4 linked regions of the Saccharomyces cerevisiae S288C genome follow. Each later gene encodes a partner of the first gene's protein in a complex. Each region holds a gene or a part of one and is shown in the gene's direction. Other genes may lie near its edges. The genes, in order: RPC53, RPC17, RPC11 and RET1.

The links.
Region 2: RPC53 (region 1) and RPC17 share a complex: the UniProt entries of both Saccharomyces cerevisiae proteins name them as parts of the RNA polymerase III (Pol III) complex.
Region 3: RPC53 (region 1) and RPC11 share a complex: the UniProt entries of both Saccharomyces cerevisiae proteins name them as parts of the RNA polymerase III (Pol III) complex.
Region 4: RPC53 (region 1) and RET1 share a complex: the UniProt entries of both Saccharomyces cerevisiae proteins name them as parts of the RNA polymerase III (Pol III) complex.

What each region holds. Positions count from the first base shown.
Region 1 is NC_001136.10:181,618-187,687, forward strand, and holds RPC53 (DNA-directed RNA polymerase III subunit C53), read left to right. Parts: upstream 1-1,725; coding exon 1,726-2,994; downstream 2,995-6,070. Other genes in the region: rRNA-processing protein SAS10, read right to left, coding at 1-1,401; autophagy protein ATG9, read left to right, coding at 3,308-6,070. UniProt on the Saccharomyces cerevisiae protein: DNA-dependent RNA polymerase catalyzes the transcription of DNA into RNA using the four ribonucleoside triphosphates as substrates. Specific peripheric component of RNA polymerase III which synthesizes small RNAs, such as 5S rRNA and tRNAs.
Region 2 is NC_001142.9:412,842-418,253, reverse strand, and holds RPC17 (DNA-directed RNA polymerase III subunit RPC17), read left to right. Parts: upstream 1-3,483; coding exon 3,484-3,969; downstream 3,970-5,412. Other genes in the region: RNA-binding RNA processing protein NOP9, read left to right, coding at 1-692; VTC4 (Vtc4p), read left to right, coding at 4,855-5,412. UniProt on the Saccharomyces cerevisiae protein: DNA-dependent RNA polymerase catalyzes the transcription of DNA into RNA using the four ribonucleoside triphosphates as substrates. Specific peripheric component of RNA polymerase III which synthesizes small RNAs, such as 5S rRNA and tRNAs.
Region 3 is NC_001136.10:544,902-550,159, reverse strand, and holds RPC11 (DNA-directed RNA polymerase III core subunit RPC11), read left to right. Parts: upstream 1-1,849; coding exon 1,850-2,182; downstream 2,183-5,258. Other genes in the region: amino acid transporter BAP3, read left to right, coding at 1-1,398; HEM13 (coproporphyrinogen oxidase), read right to left, coding at 2,532-3,518. UniProt on the Saccharomyces cerevisiae protein: DNA-dependent RNA polymerase catalyzes the transcription of DNA into RNA using the four ribonucleoside triphosphates as substrates. Component of RNA polymerase III which synthesizes small RNAs, such as 5S rRNA and tRNAs.
Region 4 is NC_001147.6:728,696-737,078, reverse strand, and holds RET1 (DNA-directed RNA polymerase III core subunit RET1), read left to right. Parts: upstream 1-3,621; coding exon 3,622-7,071; downstream 7,072-8,383. Other genes in the region: NPT1 (nicotinate phosphoribosyltransferase), read left to right, coding at 1-642; tyrosine protein phosphatase PTP2, read right to left, coding at 902-3,154; mRNA-binding ribosome synthesis protein NOC2, read right to left, coding at 7,435-8,383. UniProt on the Saccharomyces cerevisiae protein: DNA-dependent RNA polymerase catalyzes the transcription of DNA into RNA using the four ribonucleoside triphosphates as substrates. Second largest core component of RNA polymerase III which synthesizes small RNAs, such as 5S rRNA and tRNAs.

The sequences.
Region 1 (6,070 bases):
ACCATTATTATCATGCATACCACGTTTACGAGCTTCATCCAACAGACGTTGCTGCCTTTCAAATAAACGTTCCTTATATGGAATATCATCATCACCTTTGAATCTATCCGTCTTTTTATTTTCTTGTTGATCAATTTTCGAAGTATAGAAACGCAAAGTTCTTCTACGAGCTTTTTTGTCTTGTGCGTCCACATCAGCAATCTCAGATTCAATGAAATCATCAGCTTCAGGCATTGATGATGTTTTCGGTTTAGAATGCAGACGTGATTGTGCTACGTACTCTTCAAAATCGTCAATATCAACATCTTCTTCTTCTTCTTCTTCATCGCTTTCTCTTTCTTCTTCATCAATTTCTTGCTTTTGTTTTCCTCCATCCTCTGCATCAGAATCTTCACTGTTTTGCAACTCATTCAGCTTCTTTTCGTTAAAGGCCTCAATGTTTGCGGTTTCTTCACTTTCAGAACCATCTCCTTCATTCACATCAAAACTAGATGGCAATTCGCTGGCTTGCCTCCAAATCTCTTTTGTCGTTAAAATCTTTTCCATGACCGGATGTCCCTTCATAGATGTGAAATCTTCATTATTATGGAGTTCGTGCAACAAGATACTATAGTAACATGATATTGTGCCTAGGTAACTTCCAAGTGCAATTAGCTTTAATTTATTGAACTCATTTTCCTCAGATTTCTTTAATTCGTCAAACTTTGGAGCTAATTCTGTGAATTCTTTTGAAAGTGGAGCAAATTCAGGAAACATTGTCCTTAAATAGTTATCCCTTGCTTCGTCATCCATATTTAGAATATCCGTTATGGAAGTTTTAGTATCAGCCTGCTTGGTCGAGTTCTTAAATTCACCCATGTCAAATTCTTTGGCACTTTTGACCCACTCTTCTTCTTCTTCTTCATCTAAGTAATCGTTCATATTAAGTTCTTCCAGATGCTTCTTTTGTTGTCGTAAAGCTTCCTTTTCTATTTCCTTAGCAGCTTCGTCATCATCTAAATCATCAGCCCCATAATATTCTCCTTTTGTGGACCCCCAGGCATTCTCGTTGTCTAACATACCATTCTCTTCATCTTCCTCAGGAAGCTGGTCAGTTTCTAAGTTTCTACCAAATATTTTCTTATAGGCTGCAGCACCATCTAGTTCCTCTTCCTCTTCTTCTTCCTCATCTTCTCTTTCATCTATTGACTCATCATCTTCATCCATGGCTAAGACTTCTTCCTCATCTTCGTCTTCTAACAGAGAATGGTCATCATCTTTATTACTGTCGCCAAAGGTGGATTGTCCAAGTAAAACCTTTTCCCTTTTAGAAGCAAAATCATCAACTTCGTTTAAACCATACGGATTAATCTCATCCCCAACTTCAGAGGTCTTAGTTCTGTTTGAGCCTTTGCGTACCATATTATTCTATACACCCACTCTAATATGTTTTCTCTTCCTCCAAAACTTTTTGTATAAAAGCATCAGTGAGATGAGCTATGATGAGATGAGCTTCATTATTGAATTTTTTTTCATTGCAGAAGCGCAGTTTGAAAATTTTTCATCCGCCCTGCAAAGTCCAATTTTTTGATCAGCAGAAGATAATGACCAGAGAATTATGGTATTCAAGAGAACAATTCAAAAGAGGACAGCTAGAAAGATATTGAGGTATTTATAATTTGCTAGACTAACCGAAAGTCGAAGCGTAATCTTGTTTTTTATTAAGCGGGATAGCATTCATTAAGTATGAGCAGTAATAAAGGAAATGGGCGCTTGCCATCATTAAAAGATTCCTCCTCCAATGGAGGAGGATCTGCCAAGCCCTCATTAAAGTTTAAACCAAAAGCAGTTGCAAGAAAGTCCAAGGAAGAAAGAGAAGCAGCTGCGTCCAAAGTAAAGCTAGAGGAGGAATCTAAGAGAGGTAATGACAAGAAACATTTCAATAACAAGAATAAAAGAGTAACCGGCGCTGGCGGCCAGCAAAGGCGAATGGCCAAATACTTAAATAACACACACGTTATCTCTAGCGGTCCATTGGCGGCTGGGAACTTTGTAAGTGAGAAGGGTGATTTGAGAAGAGGATTCATCAAATCAGAAGGAAGCGGGTCATCTCTTGTGCAAAAGGGCCTGGAAACTATTGACAATGGTGCTGAGAGCTCTGAGAATGAGGCAGAAGACGATGATAATGAAGGTGTAGCGTCCAAATCTAAGAAGAAGTTCAATATGGGAAAAGAATTCGAGGCACGCAATCTCATAGAGGACGAAGATGACGGCGAAAGTGAAAAGAGCAGTGACGTCGACATGGATGACGAAGAATGGAGATCTAAACGGATTGAACAGTTATTCCCTGTGAGACCTGTCCGCGTAAGACACGAAGACGTTGAAACTGTCAAAAGAGAAATACAAGAAGCTCTTTCAGAAAAGCCAACTCGTGAACCAACCCCCAGTGTGAAGACAGAGCCTGTCGGAACCGGATTACAATCTTATTTGGAAGAAAGAGAAAGGCAAGTCAATGAGAAACTGGCAGATCTTGGACTTGAAAAGGAGTTTCAATCGGTTGATGGGAAAGAAGCGGCCGCTGAGTTGGAATTATTAAATGCAGATCATCAGCATATATTACGAAAACTAAAGAAAATGAATAATAAACCAGAAAGATTCATGGTATTCCAGTTACCTACTAGGTTACCAGCTTTTGAAAGACCCGCTGTGAAAGAAGAAAAAGAAGACATGGAAACCCAGGCTAGCGACCCTTCAAAGAAGAAGAAGAATATTAAAAAGAAGGACACGAAGGATGCTTTGTCTACTAGAGAACTTGCCGGCAAGGTTGGGTCTATACGGGTTCACAAATCTGGAAAACTTTCCGTGAAAATTGGAAATGTGGTGATGGATATTGGCAAAGGTGCCGAAACCACATTTTTACAAGATGTTATAGCATTAAGTATCGCTGATGATGCATCCTCAGCGGAACTTCTAGGCCGTGTGGACGGTAAAATAGTAGTCACACCTCAAATCTAATCGCACTCGCATCTGTCGAGTATATAAATGAATATACACAGTCATAAATACTTCTAGAACAAATTACACTAATTAAGATGCTTAGATTCCCATTCAAAAGGTACTATTGACGTCTTGTCTTCTACAATTTCTCATCCTCTTTGAACATTGGTAATGTTATTCTAGTTATTGTTACCCAGTTTCGGAACTTTAGGGGAGCCACACTTTAAACAAAAAGAAGCGCCATAACCACCGTGAAGTAATGAGTATCTCACTTTGATAAGAAGACATTTAAGAACAGCCTGAAATATCAAAATCACGGAATTATTAGGTTATGGAGAGAGATGAATACCAGTTACCCAACTCTCATGGGAAGAATACTTTCTTATCGCGAATATTTGGTTTACAATCGGATGAAGTTAATCCTTCTCTTAATAGCCAGGAGATGAGCAACTTCCCTTTACCAGACATAGAGAGAGGCTCATCTTTATTGCATTCTACTAACGACAGCCGCGAAGATGTAGATGAGAATGACTTACGTGTTCCTGAGTCTGACCAAGGCACTAGTACAGAAGAAGAGGATGAAGTAGATGAAGAGCAAGTCCAGGCGTATGCTCCACAGATTAGTGATGGATTGGATGGAGACCACCAGCTAAATTCTGTAACGAGCAAAGAAAATGTACTTGAAACGGAAAAAAGCAATTTAGAAAGACTGGTTGAAGGCTCTACCGATGATTCTGTGCCCAAAGTCGGACAGCTTTCGTCAGAAGAAGAAGAGGATAATGAGTTCATAAATAATGATGGATTTGATGACGATACGCCCCTTTTTCAAAAAAGCAAGATTCATGAATTTAGCTCTAAGAAAAGCAATACTATAGAGGACGGTAAACGACCTTTGTTTTTCAGGCATATCTTACAGAATAACCGCCCTCAACGTGATACCCAAAAGCTATTTACTTCGTCGAACGCCATTCACCATGATAAGGACAAGAGTGCAAATAATGGTCCCCGTAACATTAATGGTAATCAAAAGCATGGCACTAAATACTTTGGTAGTGCTACACAACCTCGGTTTACCGGTTCGCCCTTAAATAATACAAACAGGTTCACTAAATTGTTTCCATTAAGAAAGCCAAATTTACTGAGCAATATATCCGTTTTAAACAATACCCCGGAAGATAGAATCAATACGTTGAGCGTGAAAGAGCGGGCTCTGTGGAAATGGGCAAACGTAGAAAACCTCGATATATTTCTTCAAGATGTTTACAATTATTATCTGGGAAATGGGTTCTATTGCATCATACTGGAAAAAATATTGAATATATGCACTTTGCTTTTTGTTGTTTTTGTTTCTACATATATGGGTCACTGTGTTGACTACTCCAAATTACCGACTAGTCACCGGGTTTCGGATATTATTATCGACAAGTGTTATTCTAATAGTATAACGGGGTTCACAAAGTTTTTCCTTTGGATGTTTTATTTCTTCGTGATTCTCAAAATTGTTCAACTCTACTTTGATGTTCAAAAATTATCAGAATTACAAAACTTTTACAAGTATCTTTTAAATATATCGGATGACGAACTTCAAACTTTGCCCTGGCAAAATGTGATACAGCAGCTAATGTACTTGAAGGATCAAAACGCTATGACGGCAAATGTTGTGGAAGTCAAAGCCAAGAATAGAATCGACGCGCATGACGTTGCCAATAGAATCATGAGAAGAGAAAACTATCTCATAGCACTTTACAATAGCGACATCCTGAATTTATCCTTGCCTATTCCATTATTTAGGACCAACGTTCTGACAAAAACACTAGAATGGAATATTAATTTATGCGTCATGGGCTTTGTGTTCAACGAGTCCGGATTTATTAAACAAAGTATTTTAAAACCTTCTCAAAGAGAATTCACGAGAGAAGAATTACAAAAAAGATTCATGCTGGCAGGATTTCTTAATATTATATTGGCACCATTTCTGGTCACATACTTTGTTTTGCTTTATTTTTTCAGATATTTTAATGAGTATAAAACTTCTCCTGGATCTATTGGTGCTCGTCAATACACACCAATTGCTGAATGGAAATTCCGTGAGTACAATGAACTTTACCATATTTTTAAGAAAAGAATAAGTTTGAGCACAACCTTAGCTAACAAGTATGTTGATCAGTTCCCGAAGGAAAAGACCAATTTGTTTCTGAAATTTGTTTCCTTTATTTGTGGATCATTTGTGGCCATTTTAGCTTTTCTCACTGTATTCGATCCAGAAAACTTTTTAAACTTTGAAATCACCTCGGACAGATCTGTCATTTTCTACATTACTATTCTGGGTGCTATATGGTCTGTAAGTAGAAATACAATAACCCAGGAGTACCATGTTTTCGACCCCGAAGAGACGCTCAAGGAGTTGTATGAATATACACACTATCTACCAAAGGAATGGGAAGGAAGATATCACAAAGAGGAAATCAAACTAGAGTTCTGTAAATTGTACAACTTGAGAATAGTAATACTTTTGAGGGAACTCACTAGCCTGATGATAACACCGTTTGTACTTTGGTTTTCGTTGCCCTCGTCAGCCGGCAGGATTGTAGATTTCTTCAGAGAGAATTCTGAATATGTGGACGGATTAGGTTACGTTTGCAAGTATGCTATGTTTAACATGAAAAACATAGACGGTGAAGATACACACAGCATGGATGAAGACAGTTTAACGAAAAAGATTGCCGTGAACGGAAGTCATACACTCAACAGTAAACGAAGGAGTAAATTTACCGCCGAAGACCATAGCGATAAAGATTTGGCAAATAATAAAATGTTACAATCATATGTATATTTTATGGATGATTATTCCAACAGTGAAAACTTAACAGGGAAGTACCAATTGCCTGCAAAAAAAGGCTATCCGAATAATGAAGGCGATTCATTTCTCAACAATAAGTATTCTTGGAGAAAGCAATTTCAGCCAGGTCAAAAGCCGGAGCTATTTAGAATAGGTAAGCATGCTCTCGGCCCTGGCCATAATATTTCCCCTGCTATATATTCTACAAGGAATCCCGGCAAGAACTGGGATAACAATAATAATGGTGATGACATT
Region 2 (5,412 bases), on another chromosome or scaffold:
ACTTAAGGGATGATGTCATTGCTCAATTAATACAAAAATATTATCCAGAAAAGTCTGATGCAAAGAATATTTTGGAAAGTTGCCTGTTGTTGAGTGCATCGACTTTGGGCAATACCAGAGATGACTGGCCAACAGCAGAAGAAAGAAGACGATCAGTTTTCTTGGAACAATTAATTGACTACGACGACAAGTTTTTGAATATTACCATTGACAGCATGTTGGCTCTGCCTGAGGAAAGGTTGATACAAATGTGTTACCATGGAGTATTTTCGCATGTTGTTGAGCACGTACTACAAACTACTAGGGTGGACATAATTAAGAGAAAAATGCTATTGAACATACTGTCTAAAGAGTCTGTAAATTTGGCATGCAATGTATATGGCTCTCATATAATGGACAAATTGTGGGAATTTACGGCAAAATTAACATTATATAAGGAGCGTATTGCTAGAGCATTAGTTTTAGAAACTGAGAAGGTGAAGAATAGTATTTATGGCAGGCAAGTGTGGAAGAATTGGAAACTGGAATTATATGTTAGAAAAATGTGGGATTGGAAAAAACTAATTAAGGAGCAAGAATTTGAAATATTTCCAAATTCTAAACCGCTACAGCCAAAGCCAGAAAAGCACTCAAGAGAAAGAAATAATTCGAAGGAAGGAAGCGCCTTCAAAAAGCAAAAGCACTATAGATAATTGGATAATATGTTACTACTGTACTGATGTAAATTATAGAATTATGCAATATTTTCCTCTTAATAAAAAACCTTAGCTTAAACATTATTAAGGAACACTACAAAGAATTTTGCAGATTTTTAAAAGTTGTCAGTTGCTACGATATTGTATGAATAAGTTGGCGATATTTTTTATATTTAGTTTACTTTCCAGTCAATTCTTTCCGCCCTTTGCATCTATAAATTTAAATAGAAGGATAAAAAAGTGGTTATGAATAGGTAAATAATACTAGAGTAGGACGATAGAAGTCTGTATGAGTTACGGAAGCTTGTAAAAAACCTCAGAGATGCTCACAAATTGTGGTATTCTATACAATGACTGCCATCTTTTGATATTTATCGAAAATGTTACCGTCCCACGTCTAGATGAAAACAGTGATAATTTACTACCATGAAAGCAATACGCACATAAAGGATATTAATTTTAGGGTCTCTTGATGCACTATCATGAAATTTGTAACATGCTGACCTCCTAGTATCCCGTGAATATGTATATTTCAGAAATAGCCGAATATTAAGAAAATTGTTCGTATTCCATTGTTGTTAAGGGCTACAATATTAGGGATACAGAACATACTACGAGTTCTCCTCGAGAACATAGAAATCCTTATATTAGTATTAGTAAAGGATTTTATTATTTATTGGTAACTACTAAGTGTATTTATTAAAGATAATATTCAAAAGTAATTGTATTGTTGCGTTTATGAACAGAGTGAGACAAGTATAAGTATGTTATTATAATATCATACATACCATTGAATAAATTATTTTAATGAAATGGTTATGTTTATATACTCACAAGGGAATCGGTATTTCTTACATAATAGTATTACTCTGTCTTCGTTCCTTTTATACATTGTCATTCAACACCCTATCCTATTACATTATCGACCTTGAATTTCGGCTTTTATTAAGTCTGATGACTATTTCTCATCATTCATGTCATCTTCTTACAGATATGATAATATACAAGTAATATGAATGCTAGATGATAGGTAATAGTTGATTTTTATTTGAAATAGAATCTTCAATGATCGCAGTGGATCTTTTAAAAACTTGGCGAGATAGTGGTAGGGTTCAAGAATAAAAGCAGATCTTCTTATACTATACAAAAGAGGTGTAAAACATGCGCCGATTAGTCATATCAAACATGACAAATATAACAATACTGAGACTATTTACTATAGTTTCTATGTAATGACCCATATCCTTACATATACAAACGTCAAGTTAATTGTTCAAGTAACAGATATTTAACTTTACATTATCACATAGTCTATATCGTTCTCCATCCTGACACATCAATGACGTTTGCGTCTAATTGCTTCACAATTACAAATTCATCAGTAATAAAGAATAGTATGTCACTATTCTAACAGATAATATGCCAGTAATATGACTACTGGTCAATATTAAGCATAACTGTAAGACTGGATTTTGTAATGTCACCTATTAGAAAATGTTAGCCTAAATTTTCAACAAAAGTTGAAGCGGTGGCTCAATGGTAGAGCTTTCGACTCCAATTAAATCTTGGAAATTCCACGGAATAAGATTGCAATCGAAGGGTTGCAGGTTCAATTCCTGTCCGTTTCAATTTATTTTTTTATTTTTTTTGCACCATATCGTTCATGGTGATTCTCTCTTTCCTAGCCGCCAATAACGTCGTAACAATACCGTCCTCTTCCCTTTCTCTTGTTGCAGATTAGGTCTGAAACGAGATAAAAGTCTTACAGAGAAGTCGGCAATGCATACTTACTAAGAGCATGCATTCTAAAGTATGCTTCGTGCGTTTTAGGATAGATAAAGTATCATTTAATTCCGCTATTTGTGAATCGTTAAATGTCACAGGCAAATCGACATGTTAATGATCTTACGACAGAGTAGTTTATGCCGAGGGTTACTTATATTTCAACTTGTACATCTCTTAGTCTTGAATATCCGGCACAATTTTCATTATTTTGCTAGTGCGTGGATCCTTTGGCGCTGACACTAACCGGTAAATTGTACTTTCGTTCATCTTTCCTTGTCATAAACTCTTCGTCAGTAATTTCTTTAGCAATAGAAGCTAAAACAAGCTTATTAGCAAACAGTTCGTGTACACAACTATGAGCAATCCATTACATTAAAAGGGTTTACTGTATAATGTTATATATGTAGCATGAATTATAAAATGGTCCTCCCAATCATTTTGATAGGTTATTCTGCGGAATGATCAAGCTTTTCTAGATTCCTTCAGATAATATCATATGTTAAGGAGAAGAACAATTTTGCTTAATCAAACTTCTGGTCACATGAGTTGAACAGAATGTAACCTTTTATTGATAGTCTGCAGTCTGGTTCTCCACGAACTACATATACTATTTCTATTTACAAAATAGTGTGATATTTCACCTTCTATGAGATGAAATACAAAAGAAAGCTTCGCTGCAAGGTTGAAAGATAATTAGCACTTATTCCTTGAATAAGTGGGCAAGAAAAAAATATTAGCCCTGTAGGGGGCTCGAACCCCTAACCTTATGATTAAGAGTCATACGCGCTACCGATTGCGCCAACAAGGCTAATTCGTTGAAAAATCCTTCAATTCCTGAAAATTATACCAAGTAAAAAAAGGAAAATTGCCTGAAAAATTATTTTTTTCAATGCCATCGATCTATGAAAGTTAAGCAAATAACAGCCACAGTAGAAGAGAAGTTGAGTGAATCCAACACCCACCACTGAAAAAATCGACACTTAAACAAAAAACTTTAAACGTTATGAAAGTTCTTGAGGAAAGGAATGCATTTTTAAGTGACTATGAAGTCTTGAAGTTCCTAACAGATCTAGAAAAAAAACATCTTTGGGACCAAAAAAGTTTGGCTGCGCTGAAGAAAAGTCGCTCGAAAGGTAAGCAGAATAGGCCCTACAATCATCCTGAATTGCAAGGTATTACTCGCAATGTGGTTAACTATCTCAGTATAAACAAAAACTTTATCAACCAGGAAGATGAAGGCGAGGAACGAGAAAGCAGTGGTGCAAAAGATGCTGAAAAATCGGGTATAAGCAAAATGAGCGATGAAAGCTTTGCTGAGTTGATGACTAAACTGAATTCTTTTAAATTATTCAAGGCTGAAAAACTGCAGATTGTCAATCAACTTCCTGCCAATATGGTCCACCTTTACTCCATAGTGGAGGAGTGTGATGCAAGATTTGACGAAAAAACAATTGAGGAAATGCTAGAGATCATCTCTGGCTACGCATGAGTGTACAGTGCTTTGAATTGATTTGGACTGGCACTTCCGAAAAACAGAAATTACTTTGTTGTGTAACAATATAACATGTTCAATGAGTATGCATGTATTATTGAACTTAAGCATATAGAAATATTTACAAGAATATACTTTATTTTTTAGAGTTTATTGCGCACACTTTGGGTTAGTCTCGATTTTTTTTATTTCCATTGGAGGAAGGTTATTATTTGGAAATTTAGTGCTGCGTTATAAACGTCTGTAAAGCCAGTACCACAAGCAACTTCGGTGAGATTTAACTTTTGTTTATTCTGTATTTTTGTCGAGGCTTAAAAGGGTATACTAGTTGAGGGCGTTACAGTAATCCCTTCATGGCAAGAATAAAGTAATAGTTATATAATAATTGTCATACGCATTGTTATACCAGTTGACGAGTAAAAAAAGACGCACCGTGACTTCAAGAGCTGTCGCAAACAAGTTCGACAATATTTAACTTATAAACATATTAAAGCTTTCAAAAATATAGTCTTTCGAAGAGCTTTTTCATACTAAGAGAAGCGTTGCTAATATTCCGAATTAATCACGCAATTGCCTCTCTGCTTTCCACGTAACCCATCATAGGAAATTGTATTAATATGTTACTTACTGGAATTGCACAGGAAAACACCGACAAAAAATTGGTTTGTCTGCGTTTTGACGGAGAGCTACTGACTTGTAGGTTCACTTTTTCACACACCGCACTATGCATATATGTTGCATTTTTATTATTCATCCGCACGTGGCTGCACACGTGAATGAAAAAGAAGCAATACTATCTTTATATATTGAGGCAATCAGAAAGAAGTTACAGGCTAACAATCAAATCGGCCAATAAAAGAGCATAACAAGGCAGGAACAGCTATGAAGTTTGGTGAGCACTTGAGCAAGTCTCTTATTAGACAGTACAGCTACTATTATATTAGTTATGATGATCTGAAGACTGAGCTAGAAGATAACTTATCTAAGAATAACGGTCAGTGGACGCAAGAATTGGAAACAGATTTTTTAGAATCTTTGGAGATCGAGTTAGACAAGGTTTACACATTTTGCAAAGTTAAGCATAGTGAAGTTTTTAGACGTGTAAAAGAGGTTCAAGAACAAGTGCAACATACTGTTCGTTTGTTAGACTCCAATAATCCTCCTACTCAGCTAGATTTTGAGATTCTAGAAGAAGAACTAAGTGATATCATTGCCGATGTTCATGATCTAGCAAAGTTTTCGAGACTAAACTACACTGGTTTCCAAAAGATTATCAAGAAACACGATAAGAAGACAGGTTTTATCTTGAAACCAGTTTTCCAAGTTAGATTAGACTCTAAACCATTTTTCAAGGAAAACTATGACGAACTAGTCGTTAAAATTTCCCAACTATATGATATTGCCAGAACTTCAGGTCGCCCAATCAAGGGAGACTCATCT
Region 3 (5,258 bases), 370 kb from region 1:
CAAGCGGCTGGTGAGATGGGTGTCACTTATCCGACGCTTCCAGGTAACTTCAATGCATACAATTCAATCTTTATTTCAAAGTCGTTTGGGTTCGCGACCACTTGGTTATTTTGCATTCAGTGGTTAACTGTGCTACCGTTGGAATTGATTACTTCTTCCATGACCGTCAAGTACTGGAATGACACAATTAATGCTGATGTATTCATTGTCATTTTCTATGTGTTTTTATTGTTTATCCACTTTTTTGGTGTTAAGGCATACGGTGAAACGGAATTTATCTTCAATTCCTGTAAGATATTGATGGTTGCAGGATTCATTATTTTATCAGTCGTCATCAATTGTGGGGGAGCCGGTGTGGACGGCTATATTGGCGGCAAATATTGGCGCGACCCTGGTTCATTTGCAGAAGGCAGCGGTGCCACTCGTTTCAAAGGGATATGTTATATTCTAGTATCTGCATATTTCTCCTTCGGTGGTATTGAATTATTTGTTCTTTCCATCAATGAGCAGTCTAACCCTAGAAAATCCACTCCTGTAGCCGCGAAGAGAAGTGTATATCGTATTTTGATCATTTATTTGCTGACAATGATTCTAATTGGGTTCAATGTTCCTCACAATAACGATCAATTGATGGGTTCCGGTGGCTCCGCAACGCACGCTTCACCATATGTCTTGGCAGCCTCTATTCACAAGGTTAGGGTCATCCCCCATATCATTAATGCTGTTATTTTGATATCAGTCATCTCTGTTGCGAACTCTGCCCTTTATGCCGCACCGAGATTAATGTGTTCCTTGGCTCAACAGGGCTATGCTCCAAAATTTTTGAACTATATTGATAGGGAGGGAAGACCTTTAAGGGCCTTGGTAGTGTGCTCTCTTGTTGGTGTCGTTGGCTTCGTCGCCTGTTCTCCACAGGAAGAGCAAGCATTTACATGGTTGGCAGCCATTGCAGGTTTGAGTGAACTTTTCACATGGTCAGGCATTATGCTTTCACACATTCGATTCAGAAAAGCGATGAAAGTCCAAGGAAGATCACTTGATGAAGTCGGCTATAAGGCCAATACCGGTATATGGGGTTCATACTATGGGGTTTTTTTCAATATGCTTGTCTTTATGGCCCAATTTTGGGTCGCACTGTCTCCAATAGGAAATGGCGGAAAGTGTGATGCTCAGGCATTCTTCGAGAGTTATCTGGCTGCCCCGCTATGGATATTCATGTATGTTGGATACATGGTTTACAAAAGAGATTTTACCTTTTTAAACCCACTGGACAAGATCGACTTGGACTTTCATAGAAGAGTTTACGACCCTGAAATAATGAGGCAGGAGGACGAAGAAAATAAAGAAAGGTTAAAGAACTCTTCAATATTCGTCAGAGTCTACAAATTTTGGTGTTAGTGCATAATAAATAGCATTTTAAATATTTGTATATTATATTCATAAACGAAGTAACACAAGCATGAAACTGTTGTTCGGACCGAACCACCTTACTCAACGTTGTCTAAATGATTTTGTGTTGCTCATGTCATAGCATTCAACTACAGATGAAGGTTTTTAGCGCCACTCCCATTAACATTTTCAAATCCGAGTATTGAAAAAAAAAAAAAAAAAAACTAGAGCAAGTGAACGAACGGGAAAATAAAAAAATGGCAGATGAAATTTTTGGACATCTATTATTACATGGCAAGATGATCGATATAAAATTCAAATCCAGTTCAAAAGAACAGTAGGAAAAGTTTTATCCAAAAGCATAACCGAGAATCTTCTTTCTGGAAAACGCATACGTTATATGGCTATATAAGCAAAAGAGTTCGCATTCATTGGTAAAACGTAAAATACATAATTTAGGATGCTTTCGTTTTGTCCTTCGTGTAACAATATGCTACTGATAACGAGTGGCGATAGTGGTGTATATACATTAGCATGCCGTTCATGTCCATATGAGTTTCCTATAGAGGGTATAGAAATCTATGATAGGAAGAAACTTCCAAGAAAGGAAGTTGATGATGTTCTTGGTGGTGGTTGGGACAATGTGGATCAAACCAAAACCCAATGTCCCAATTATGATACTTGTGGTGGTGAGAGTGCTTACTTTTTCCAACTACAAATTAGGTCAGCTGATGAGCCGATGACTACCTTTTATAAGTGTGTAAACTGTGGTCATAGATGGAAGGAAAATTAAGAAGTCCTTGAATATAAGATGAATTTTCTAAGAATAAAAAGAGTAATAAAAACATCTTAAAATTTGATTAGAAGGCATGATCGCATATTGAGAATGAAGGCTGCTGCCATATTTTTAGAGCAATAGATACTGATATAATTTTTGATCCTGCACGTACTGTGAACTTGCATCATAAATAGGACGCAATAATTAATATTTTTAAGAATAGAGATCCTGTATCAATTGAATTTGAAGAATTATGTAAAGGAGGTATAATAAATAGATAAAAAAATGTATAAATAAGTGGTCGAAATAATTAAATCATCATTGTCATTGAGATCATAAAATCGGTCTGCTAAAGAACCTTGAATTATTTAACCCACTCTCTTGGTTTGGTGGTAACTTCTAGTAATTTAGCTTCTCTGGAACCAGGAGCAGGGTGGTGGTTGTATAACCATGAAGCATGTTCAGGCAAACTCATCAAAATTGACTCAACTCTAGAGCCTGGGGTTCTCAAACCGAATTGGGTACCTCTATCGTAGATTAAGTTGAATTCAACGTATCTACCACGTCTAATGGCCTGCCATTGTTGTTCTTCCTTTGTATATGGCATATCTTTTCTTCTCTTGACGATAGTCAAGTAGGATGGCAAGAAAGCATCGAAACAGTCTTCAACCATCTTCAATATTTCTTGTGGGTCACGTTCATCATAATCGTCAAAGAATATACCACCAATACCACGTGTTTCCTTACGGTGGGTAATGTAGAAGTACTCATCACACCATTTCTTGAAACGTGGGTACAAAGCAGTGTCGTGCTTGTCCAAGGCATCCTTGTGCAGTTGGTGGAATAATTGACCGTCTTCTTCGTATAAGTAAGAAGGTGTCAAATCAGCACCACCACCAAACCACCAAGTTTGTGGGGTCCCATCTTGGTTCCAAGTTTCGAAGTAACGGTAGTTTAAGTGCGTGGTTGGAGCGTGTGGGTTAACGGGATGAATGACCATACTTAAACCACAAGCGAAGAACTTGACACCGTCGGTAACTGGCAAACCAGTCTTTGGATCTTCTGGTAGACGCAGATTCTTATGATCAGCTTTCATGGCTGAAACGGCCGCTGGGCTCAATTGACCATAAACAACGGAGACATTAACACCACCTTTTTCGAAAGTTGTACCGTCTTGGATAACCATAGAGGTACCACCACCACCATCGTTACCACGGGTCCAAGTATCAGCGTGGAACTTAACAGTATCGATGGATTCCAAACCTTGCGTGATTTCAGCTTGTTTGCGACGGATAAGAGCTTCCATTTGTTGTCTAATTGGAAGATTCCTTGGATCTTGAGGGGCAGGCATCTTTATGTGTATTTAATTGTGTTCGAAGAGTTCGGTTTGCTATGTTTGATTTGCGAAAAGAAAGCTTTTGATATGCTCAAAAAAAGAAAACCCGGAGAATAAAAGCTTAACAAAGAAAGACAATAGGTGGAAAAAAAAAGGAAAATCCGTGTCCTTATATAGCCTTTCGAAACGAGAACAATGGGCAAAGCAAGCTTTATCTTCGGATCGTCCGTCAGCGCTTTGGTTGCAGTCTTATGCTTTGTTCAAGCTGGAGCGTTATTGGTGGGAGAACCAGAAAAGGCGAAAGCGTAGCGTTCTTTGAAATTTGGCTTCTGTTCCTGCGACTCGTTTAAAAGTAGAAGGGCCCGCGGAGCCGCTGTGAAAGATTTCTTTTACTCTTTCAGCGCAGAAATCTCGCAGGAGCTCAGCAGAAAGTGCCTATGACGGTAATCCCAGGGGCTAATGGTGTGAAGGCACTTTCTAAACAATTGAAATTAAAATACCGTGCCTATAGTAACTTTTTTTTACGCTGTGAACCGTTCAACACACAGTAAAAACTCCGCAGGAAATGGTTTGAAGAATCTTAATCACGAATTAGGCGTATTGTTTTTCCCAACAGTGAACGAGAGGACAAACTCCAGAGGATTTGCGGGCTTGATGATAAAATGTATTGTTGAAAAGATCGCGAATGCAACAATTACGGTGGGGAGAAATATCAACAAAAGGGCAAGGCTATGCCTTCTGGAAAGTGGCAGACTTGCACTTTCCTCGAAAAGAAAAATGACCGCAAGATCCGGTTGTTCTCAACCTTCTACATTAAGACATACTTCTACGATTTTCGAATGCCGAAGCAACTATCGCTGAAATTTGTCATGTCAAAATTGCTACTGGGGGAGAAGAATATATATGGAAGTAATTATTATTTACGTTGCTGAAATGGCAGGTTAGACGCATGTTTTGCAAAATAAGTGGTTTTGAAAAGAATTGATACTAGGAATCGGTGCAATACCTTCTACCTTTCTTAATAGGTATTCTTGAATAATCTACCTCACTTTCTGTCCCAGATACGAGATGTCGAGCGCCTCGAAAATAGATATCGTTTATTACGTTAGATACGGAAAGGTCTACGTGTCATAATAAATTGCATCTGGATTGCGATTTTGGGTCATGCCTAACTGGGAAAATATTTACATCTCCATGTTCTCATTCTGCCTTTGCTTTCCTTCAAAACATGGTTTTCAATTCAACCTAGGGTCTACCGCGGAACCATATGTACGCCGTAAATGCGAGTGTTCTTGAAAGGTAGTAATGTGTTCCCTCTCAATATGTAAGTCCTTCAAGAGTATGCACTTGCAGTTGCACTGTTTCGGGTAATTATCCGTCATTAAGAAAAAGATGCTTCCACTTTCTCGTGTTTTTACGCACAATCGTGCCATTTAACCGGAAATAGACTCCATTGCATTGATTGCTCTCATAAAAATTATAGCCCGCGTTTGATACTTGTTTAAAATAGGTGTCGACAAAGTTAGTTTCTGTCTTCCATTTAGTTTTTACAATATGACACGTCAAATAAATCTTTTCGATTTAGTTAAAAGAGTTACCTGGCGATAGCCTTCTGGTAAAACACCTATTCATAAAACAATCTTAAAAAACCAAAAAATTACCAAACAACTATGTAGGACATATTTTTACAGTTCATAAAAACGCTTCGAGCTGCCGATATCGGTATCAAACACCAAAATATACATAGTGCTGGTT
Region 4 (8,383 bases), on another chromosome or scaffold:
TTATTTGCCAAGAAATATGGAGTCAAGCCAATCGGTACTGTGGCTCACGAGTGGGTTATGGGAGTCGCTTCTATTAGTGAAGATTATTTGCATGCCAATAAAAATGCAATGGATTGTTGGATCAATACTTTTGGTGCAAAAAATGCTGGTTTAGCATTAACGGATACTTTTGGAACTGATGACTTTTTAAAATCATTCCGTCCACCATATTCTGATGCTTACGTCGGTGTTAGACAAGATTCTGGAGACCCAGTTGAGTATACCAAAAAGATTTCCCACCATTACCATGACGTGTTGAAATTGCCTAAATTCTCGAAGATTATCTGTTATTCCGATTCTTTGAACGTCGAAAAGGCAATAACTTACTCCCATGCAGCTAAAGAGAATGGAATGCTAGCCACATTCGGTATTGGCACAAACTTTACTAATGATTTTCGTAAGAAGTCAGAACCCCAGGTTAAAAGTGAGCCGTTAAACATCGTTATCAAACTATTAGAAGTAAATGGTAATCACGCTATCAAAATTTCTGATAACTTAGGTAAAAATATGGGAGATCCTGCCACTGTGAAGAGAGTGAAAGAGGAATTGGGATATACTGAACGAAGTTGGAGTGGTGATAACGAAGCGCACAGATGGACCTAATTATTCAGTTATGGGTACTGACATCTCTGCGATTTTATAAATATGACATATAGATATGCAGCTGATATCGCAAAAATAAAACATTATATGAAGTTGCGAGTACGTAAAAAAACCCGTGTTTCTTTATGAGGAGATTGTTAATTGTAGATTTATTTTTTTTTATTTTTAATGTATCTATATAATGAAATAAAATGCAACGAGAGGTTATGTAATTTATCAAAACGAAAAGTGTTTGTATAATAGGAGAAAAACAATTCTATTAACAAGGTAACGCGTTCTTTATCTGCTTTTGCAGGGCAAAATAATTTAATAATGCCTCATAACAAGCGATATATTGAGTTAGATTCTGTACCATTGAAATCCTTTGCTTTCTTAATTCATTCACTATGATAAAGATAAGGTCCTGAGTCATATTCCAAACATCAATCTTGTTTGAGTGATTTGTTGTAGGTGAAAGAATACTTAGTAGGAAATCCAAGGTAACGAAAACACCTGTTCTTCCACACCCTGCAGAACAATGGACTAATAGTGGCGATGAATTTGCTGTATCGAGATGTAACTCACTATTATTATCATCTATCAAATCAGGCTTGCAAACATCCTTTTCGAGGCTTGTAATAAAACTTTGCGGGTTAAACAATAACGAATTTTTGACTTTGTGTAGTTTAATGATGTCATTCATATCTACGCCGCATGAATCTAACCAATTCTTGTATTGTAATTGGTAAACAATAAACGGCTCGGATACAGCCATGGTAATGGAAGTAAGGTCACCATTATGCGGAAGGTCACAATCTTGACTGATATTATCATTTTGTGGAGCTGTTTTCTTGACTTGAAAGACTCTGAGAACACAGCCATTAATATTGCAAATATTCTCCCAGGTGTTCTGAAGTTTGATAGTGTGGTTGGAATATGACAGATTATTCCAGTAAATATCCCATTTTCTTAAATTCAATTCATCGTCAGAATTCAATGATATTATTACTTTAACTTTATTTAAAGTAATAACCTTCCAAAAATCATCCATCGTAGAAGGAAGCGGAGCTTGGGTAGCAATATACTTGAAATCAGGATTAATTTGCGTGAGCTTCAAATAGTTCGCATTGATATAGTCGTTCGGTTTGCAGGAGTGGTTTTTTGCATCTACGGGACACATCGGATATGACTTATCTGTTTTAGTTTCGGTTGTGGATGCTTCAGAAACTGCAGGTGGTTTCGGGGAGTGAGGTAACTTTACTCTTGAATGTTCGTAAGGTAAGATATTAGAATATCTATTCTTAGTAAAAGACTGAATTCCTTCAGTAAGTTCGTAATCATTTATTGGTGACATTATAGTATCATCGGAAGATAATGGTGATGGCGAAGAAGATGTGTTGTTTTTTGGTATAATTAATTTTAGCTTTTGATTTTTCTGTATGTTGCTTTTCAAAGAACTTTTATACTGTCGTTGCAAACTAGTTAAAGAATATAATTTTGAATCATCCGTGGATTGCGGACCCCTCTGCTTTTGTGATAGCTGCTTTTGATGTAAAGGCTTTTTCTTGAATTTCAGGCATTTCTCTAATCTTTGCATTTCAAAATTTTCTAAAGTTTCAAAATTGTTAAAGAGTTTCTTTAATATTACCTTTTCATTTTCTTTTACGGAGCAGAATTTTAGCCAATTCGGTAAAATCGTGTCGTTAGGTGCTAAGTCAGCAGGCATATTGAATTGGAAAAACTTTTGCAAAGAATTAGGAGAATAATGAATTAGATCCTTTTTCAGAGACTGTAAAAATATTTTATTTGAATCATTGGGTGGAGGTATGTTTATTCTTAAATTTAAAGTTGACCTTGAAGTTAAGTTTACATTCAAGTTCAAATCCAATTTGGGCAAGATGCAATTTTTCTTATTTTTTCCTAATGAGGGGGCCTTGCTATCATTCAGAGAGCCTTCGAGAAGAAAGAATTTCAAATAAGGAGATGGAAAAAAATGGCAGATGAACTTTTTAAACTTCTCAATGAGGCAAAAAGTTGTCTTTAAACAACTCGAAATTCTGCTAAACGAATCACTGAAAATGAAAATATCATAATCTTTGATGATCTTTGTGAACTCAATATACTTTTCATCAGATCCAAGGTAATTCTTTAGTAAGTTCTCGAACGGGTAGTTCGACCTTTTCACCAAAGTGCTGGGTAGCGGCAACGATAAAACTGTGATATCCTTAGCATTGGTATTGCCTAAAAATGAGTTGGTATTGGGGCCAGCGCACAGATCTAGTAAAAGTATTTTAGAATGCCTATTAGAGTTGTTCCGCCGTATGTTAACGTCGTCCAAATCTTTGCACGGTTTAATTTGATTTTGGGGAAGGTTAGACAGATTTATAGTTTCACCTCTATAGACGGGCATTTGACCAGGTGTTCTAGTTTGATTGACTTGTATGTGGCCCTTTTCCGATATAGCGGAAGAAGCCATTCTATTGCCGTTATTGTCTCTTTTGCCATTACGATATTGCTGTGCTATGCGATCCATCAATAGCAACGTCGATCCTATTTTATTGTAAACTATTAATAGCACTGGGGATCGGACCTAGGCTTCCAAACTAAGCGAAAAGGGCTGTGCAAAGCGGAAGAGGGGAACCAGGGGAATCGGGTCTGTCAGGTTGAGTGATCTCGTCTTTCTTGTCAAAGGTCGCAGCGCGGTGTTCAAAGAAAGATGATGATTCAAAGTTGGCACTTCCCAAAGGTTTTAATAGGTGCATTATTTTTATATATTCCTTATTGTTAGGTGTACTACACATAAAGATATAAATAGTTCCATAAAGCAGGCGCGTATTTTCCAGATCACGTCGGACGAAATTGTAATTGTGAGATGAGCTGAAAATTTTTCGATCTATGCTTAAGTGATGATATATGGACAAGTTAGGAAAGAATTAAAGGGAGTTTAAAGTGTTGATAATTGAGCGTTTTAATCGCTAGGGACTTAGTGCTTGTTGAAAAATGGTTGCTGCGACAAAAAGACGGAAAACTCATATACATAAGCATGTGAAAGACGAGGCTTTTGATGATTTATTGAAACCAGTATATAAAGGTAAGAAACTAACTGATGAAATCAATACTGCTCAGGATAAGTGGCACCTTTTACCAGCATTCTTGAAGGTTAAAGGTTTGGTGAAGCAACATCTTGACTCATTTAACTACTTCGTTGATACAGATTTAAAAAAAATTATAAAGGCAAATCAATTAATTTTGAGTGATGTTGATCCAGAATTCTACCTGAAGTACGTCGATATTAGAGTGGGTAAGAAGTCCTCTTCTTCGACAAAAGATTATTTGACTCCGCCTCATGAGTGTAGGCTTAGAGATATGACATACTCTGCACCAATCTACGTGGATATAGAATACACTAGAGGTAGAAACATTATTATGCATAAAGACGTGGAAATTGGTAGGATGCCGATCATGCTGAGATCTAATAAATGTATCCTATATGATGCTGATGAATCGAAAATGGCTAAATTAAACGAGTGTCCGTTGGATCCTGGTGGTTACTTTATTGTTAACGGTACCGAAAAAGTAATTCTTGTTCAAGAACAATTATCCAAGAATCGTATTATTGTGGAGGCAGATGAGAAGAAAGGCATTGTTCAGGCCTCCGTTACTTCATCTACCCATGAAAGAAAATCTAAGACTTATGTCATTACCAAAAATGGCAAGATCTATTTGAAGCACAATTCCATCGCTGAAGAAATTCCTATTGCTATTGTTCTCAAAGCCTGTGGTATTTTATCAGATTTAGAAATTATGCAATTGGTTTGCGGTAATGATAGTAGCTACCAAGATATTTTTGCAGTCAATTTGGAAGAATCTTCGAAATTAGATATTTACACACAACAGCAAGCTTTAGAGTATATTGGTGCAAAAGTAAAGACAATGAGAAGGCAAAAACTGACTATCCTGCAAGAGGGTATAGAGGCCATTGCTACCACGGTTATTGCACATTTGACTGTGGAAGCCCTTGACTTTAGAGAAAAGGCTTTATATATTGCCATGATGACGCGCAGGGTGGTGATGGCAATGTATAACCCTAAGATGATTGATGATAGAGATTATGTTGGTAATAAACGTCTTGAATTAGCAGGCCAATTGATTTCTTTATTGTTCGAAGATTTGTTCAAAAAGTTTAATAATGATTTTAAACTAAGCATTGATAAGGTCTTGAAAAAACCAAATAGGGCTATGGAATACGATGCATTATTGTCAATTAACGTCCATTCAAATAACATCACCAGCGGACTGAACAGAGCTATCTCAACCGGTAATTGGTCTCTTAAAAGATTTAAGATGGAAAGAGCGGGTGTTACACATGTTCTTTCCAGACTATCTTATATTTCCGCATTGGGTATGATGACAAGAATTTCTTCTCAGTTTGAAAAATCAAGAAAAGTTTCCGGTCCAAGAGCATTACAACCTTCTCAATTTGGTATGCTTTGTACTGCAGATACTCCAGAAGGTGAGGCGTGTGGTCTAGTGAAAAATTTAGCATTAATGACTCATATTACTACAGATGACGAAGAGGAACCTATAAAGAAATTATGTTATGTTCTTGGTGTAGAAGACATAACATTGATTGACAGTGCATCCTTGCATTTAAACTATGGTGTTTATTTGAATGGTACTTTAATTGGTTCAATCAGATTCCCAACAAAATTCGTTACTCAGTTCAGACATCTGAGAAGAACAGGTAAAGTGTCGGAGTTTATCTCAATTTATTCAAATTCTCACCAAATGGCAGTTCATATTGCAACAGATGGTGGTAGAATTTGTAGGCCATTAATCATTGTTTCTGATGGTCAATCTCGCGTGAAAGATATTCATTTACGCAAATTATTAGATGGTGAGTTAGATTTCGATGATTTTTTGAAACTCGGATTGGTGGAATATTTAGATGTCAATGAAGAAAACGATTCTTACATTGCATTGTATGAAAAAGATATAGTTCCCTCGATGACACATTTAGAAATCGAGCCATTCACAATTTTAGGTGCTGTTGCTGGTTTAATTCCATATCCACATCATAACCAATCCCCTCGTAACACATATCAATGTGCGATGGGTAAGCAAGCGATTGGTGCAATCGCCTACAATCAATTCAAGAGAATAGATACATTATTATACTTGATGACTTATCCACAACAGCCAATGGTGAAAACCAAAACAATTGAATTGATCGATTATGATAAATTACCTGCTGGTCAAAATGCTACGGTTGCTGTCATGTCCTATTCTGGTTATGATATTGAAGATGCTTTGGTTTTGAATAAGTCATCCATCGATAGAGGTTTCGGCCGTTGCGAAACACGTAGAAAGACAACCACTGTTTTGAAAAGATATGCGAACCATACCCAAGATATCATCGGTGGTATGAGAGTTGATGAAAATGGAGATCCTATCTGGCAACATCAATCTCTTGGTCCTGATGGTCTAGGTGAGGTGGGTATGAAGGTCCAAAGTGGACAAATTTATATAAATAAGTCAGTTCCAACTAACTCAGCAGACGCCCCAAACCCAAACAACGTAAACGTCCAAACTCAATATAGGGAAGCTCCGGTAATATATAGAGGTCCAGAACCTTCTCACATTGACCAAGTTATGATGTCTGTTTCGGATAACGATCAAGCTTTAATCAAAGTTTTGCTAAGACAAAACAGAAGGCCAGAATTAGGTGACAAATTTTCTTCTAGACATGGTCAAAAAGGTGTTTGTGGTATTATTGTAAAGCAAGAAGACATGCCCTTCAACGATCAAGGTATAGTTCCAGACATTATCATGAACCCTCACGGTTTTCCATCTCGTATGACTGTGGGTAAAATGATCGAACTGATATCGGGTAAAGCTGGTGTATTGAATGGTACATTGGAATATGGTACTTGTTTTGGTGGTTCTAAACTTGAAGATATGTCTAAGATTTTGGTAGACCAAGGTTTCAACTATTCCGGTAAGGATATGTTATATTCAGGTATAACAGGTGAGTGTTTACAGGCTTACATCTTTTTTGGCCCCATTTACTATCAAAAGTTAAAGCATATGGTCTTAGATAAGATGCATGCAAGAGCTCGTGGTCCAAGGGCTGTTTTGACACGTCAACCAACTGAGGGTAGATCTAGAGATGGTGGTCTGAGGTTGGGTGAGATGGAGAGGGATTGTGTAATCGCGTATGGTGCTTCACAATTGCTGTTAGAAAGGTTGATGATTAGTTCAGATGCTTTTGAAGTTGATGTCTGCGATAAATGTGGATTAATGGGCTATAGTGGTTGGTGTACTACCTGCAAAAGTGCTGAGAATATTATTAAGATGACTATTCCATATGCAGCAAAACTGTTATTCCAGGAATTATTATCCATGAACATAGCCCCAAGATTAAGATTGGAAGATATCTTCCAGCAGTAAGAAATCATATATCTTGTACTAAATTTTGCGTTATGTTAGCAATCATATCTATTTCGTGAGGAACTTTAAGAGAGTTGAACGATTTCGAAAATTATATAACAGTAAACCGTACTTCTTTCATTTTTGTACCTTGCTTTACATCATTACTTTTTATAAGATCCATCGAACGTTTGACGTGTTTTCTATCCATAAACCGGCCAAAATATAAAAATATCCAGCTGACAAGAGAAAGCTTGGAGTGCTCACATGTTAGCACATGTGAGCACAATGATATATACGCTTTAAAAAAGACTTTTCTTTATTTTACACATTTATAGACTTAACTATTGAATTCAAGACAAAAAATCAAATCTTGCTGAGTTGTTAAGCGTCTGACATTTCAACATCTTCGTTGTCATCATCACTTTCCAGACTGTTTAATAATTTTGCTTCTTCTGTTTCTCTTTCTTTGTCTTGTTCTTCCATACTTTCTCTCATTAATCTGGCCTTTTCTTCCTTAACTTCACGTTGTACTGCAACATAAGAACCTAAAGGTGTTTTATTCCAAGCTACATCATTCAAAAATCTTGAAACTTCAGATTTGTTTGTTGGCCCAAATTCAACATCTGATCTCTTTTCTTGGATGAATGTGCTGTTTTGGTTCAATTTTTCTACAACAGTTGATAAACGTTTGTTAAGTTTGACATTAGTTGAAGTCTTGATGTAACGGCGTAAAGAGATAATAACCGGTGTTACAAGTTCAGGAAATGCAATGTTTTTACAGTACAGAGCAAAATAATCGCCCAATAAGTCCACAAACTGTTCTGACAAACCCTCTTGGTATATTTTTGTATTCAGATAAGCTTGCGTACATTTGATGTTGTGCTCAAAATCGAAAGCAGCCAAGTTAGGGCTCTTTTTGGGTGCCTTAGTGAAAGCCGTTGAGGTTAAAATTTCAGAAAGTAAAGGATATATTGGAATAAAAACACCACTATTTTGAGAAAGTCTAATAAGTGATTTAATCAAATAAAATCTTAATGGGAAGAATTGTGGTGTTGGGATTAATCTGATTACACCCAAAGTAACCTGAACCAATGGGTAAATTAATTGTCGTAAAGGAGATTCACTGCCATTTTCCTTTTCTGGTTGACAAGCAAACGATAGTACACGAGACCAGAAATCCAAGGAGTGACAGAATTGCCAGTTGTATACAATCTTGTAAGCTTCTGCGGAATTAATTTTACTGGATTTTTTAGTTGTCGCGTTCATTGTATTTCTTAAATGAATTGCCAATTGCCTAATATACTCAAATCCAACTTGGTAACCTAGAACT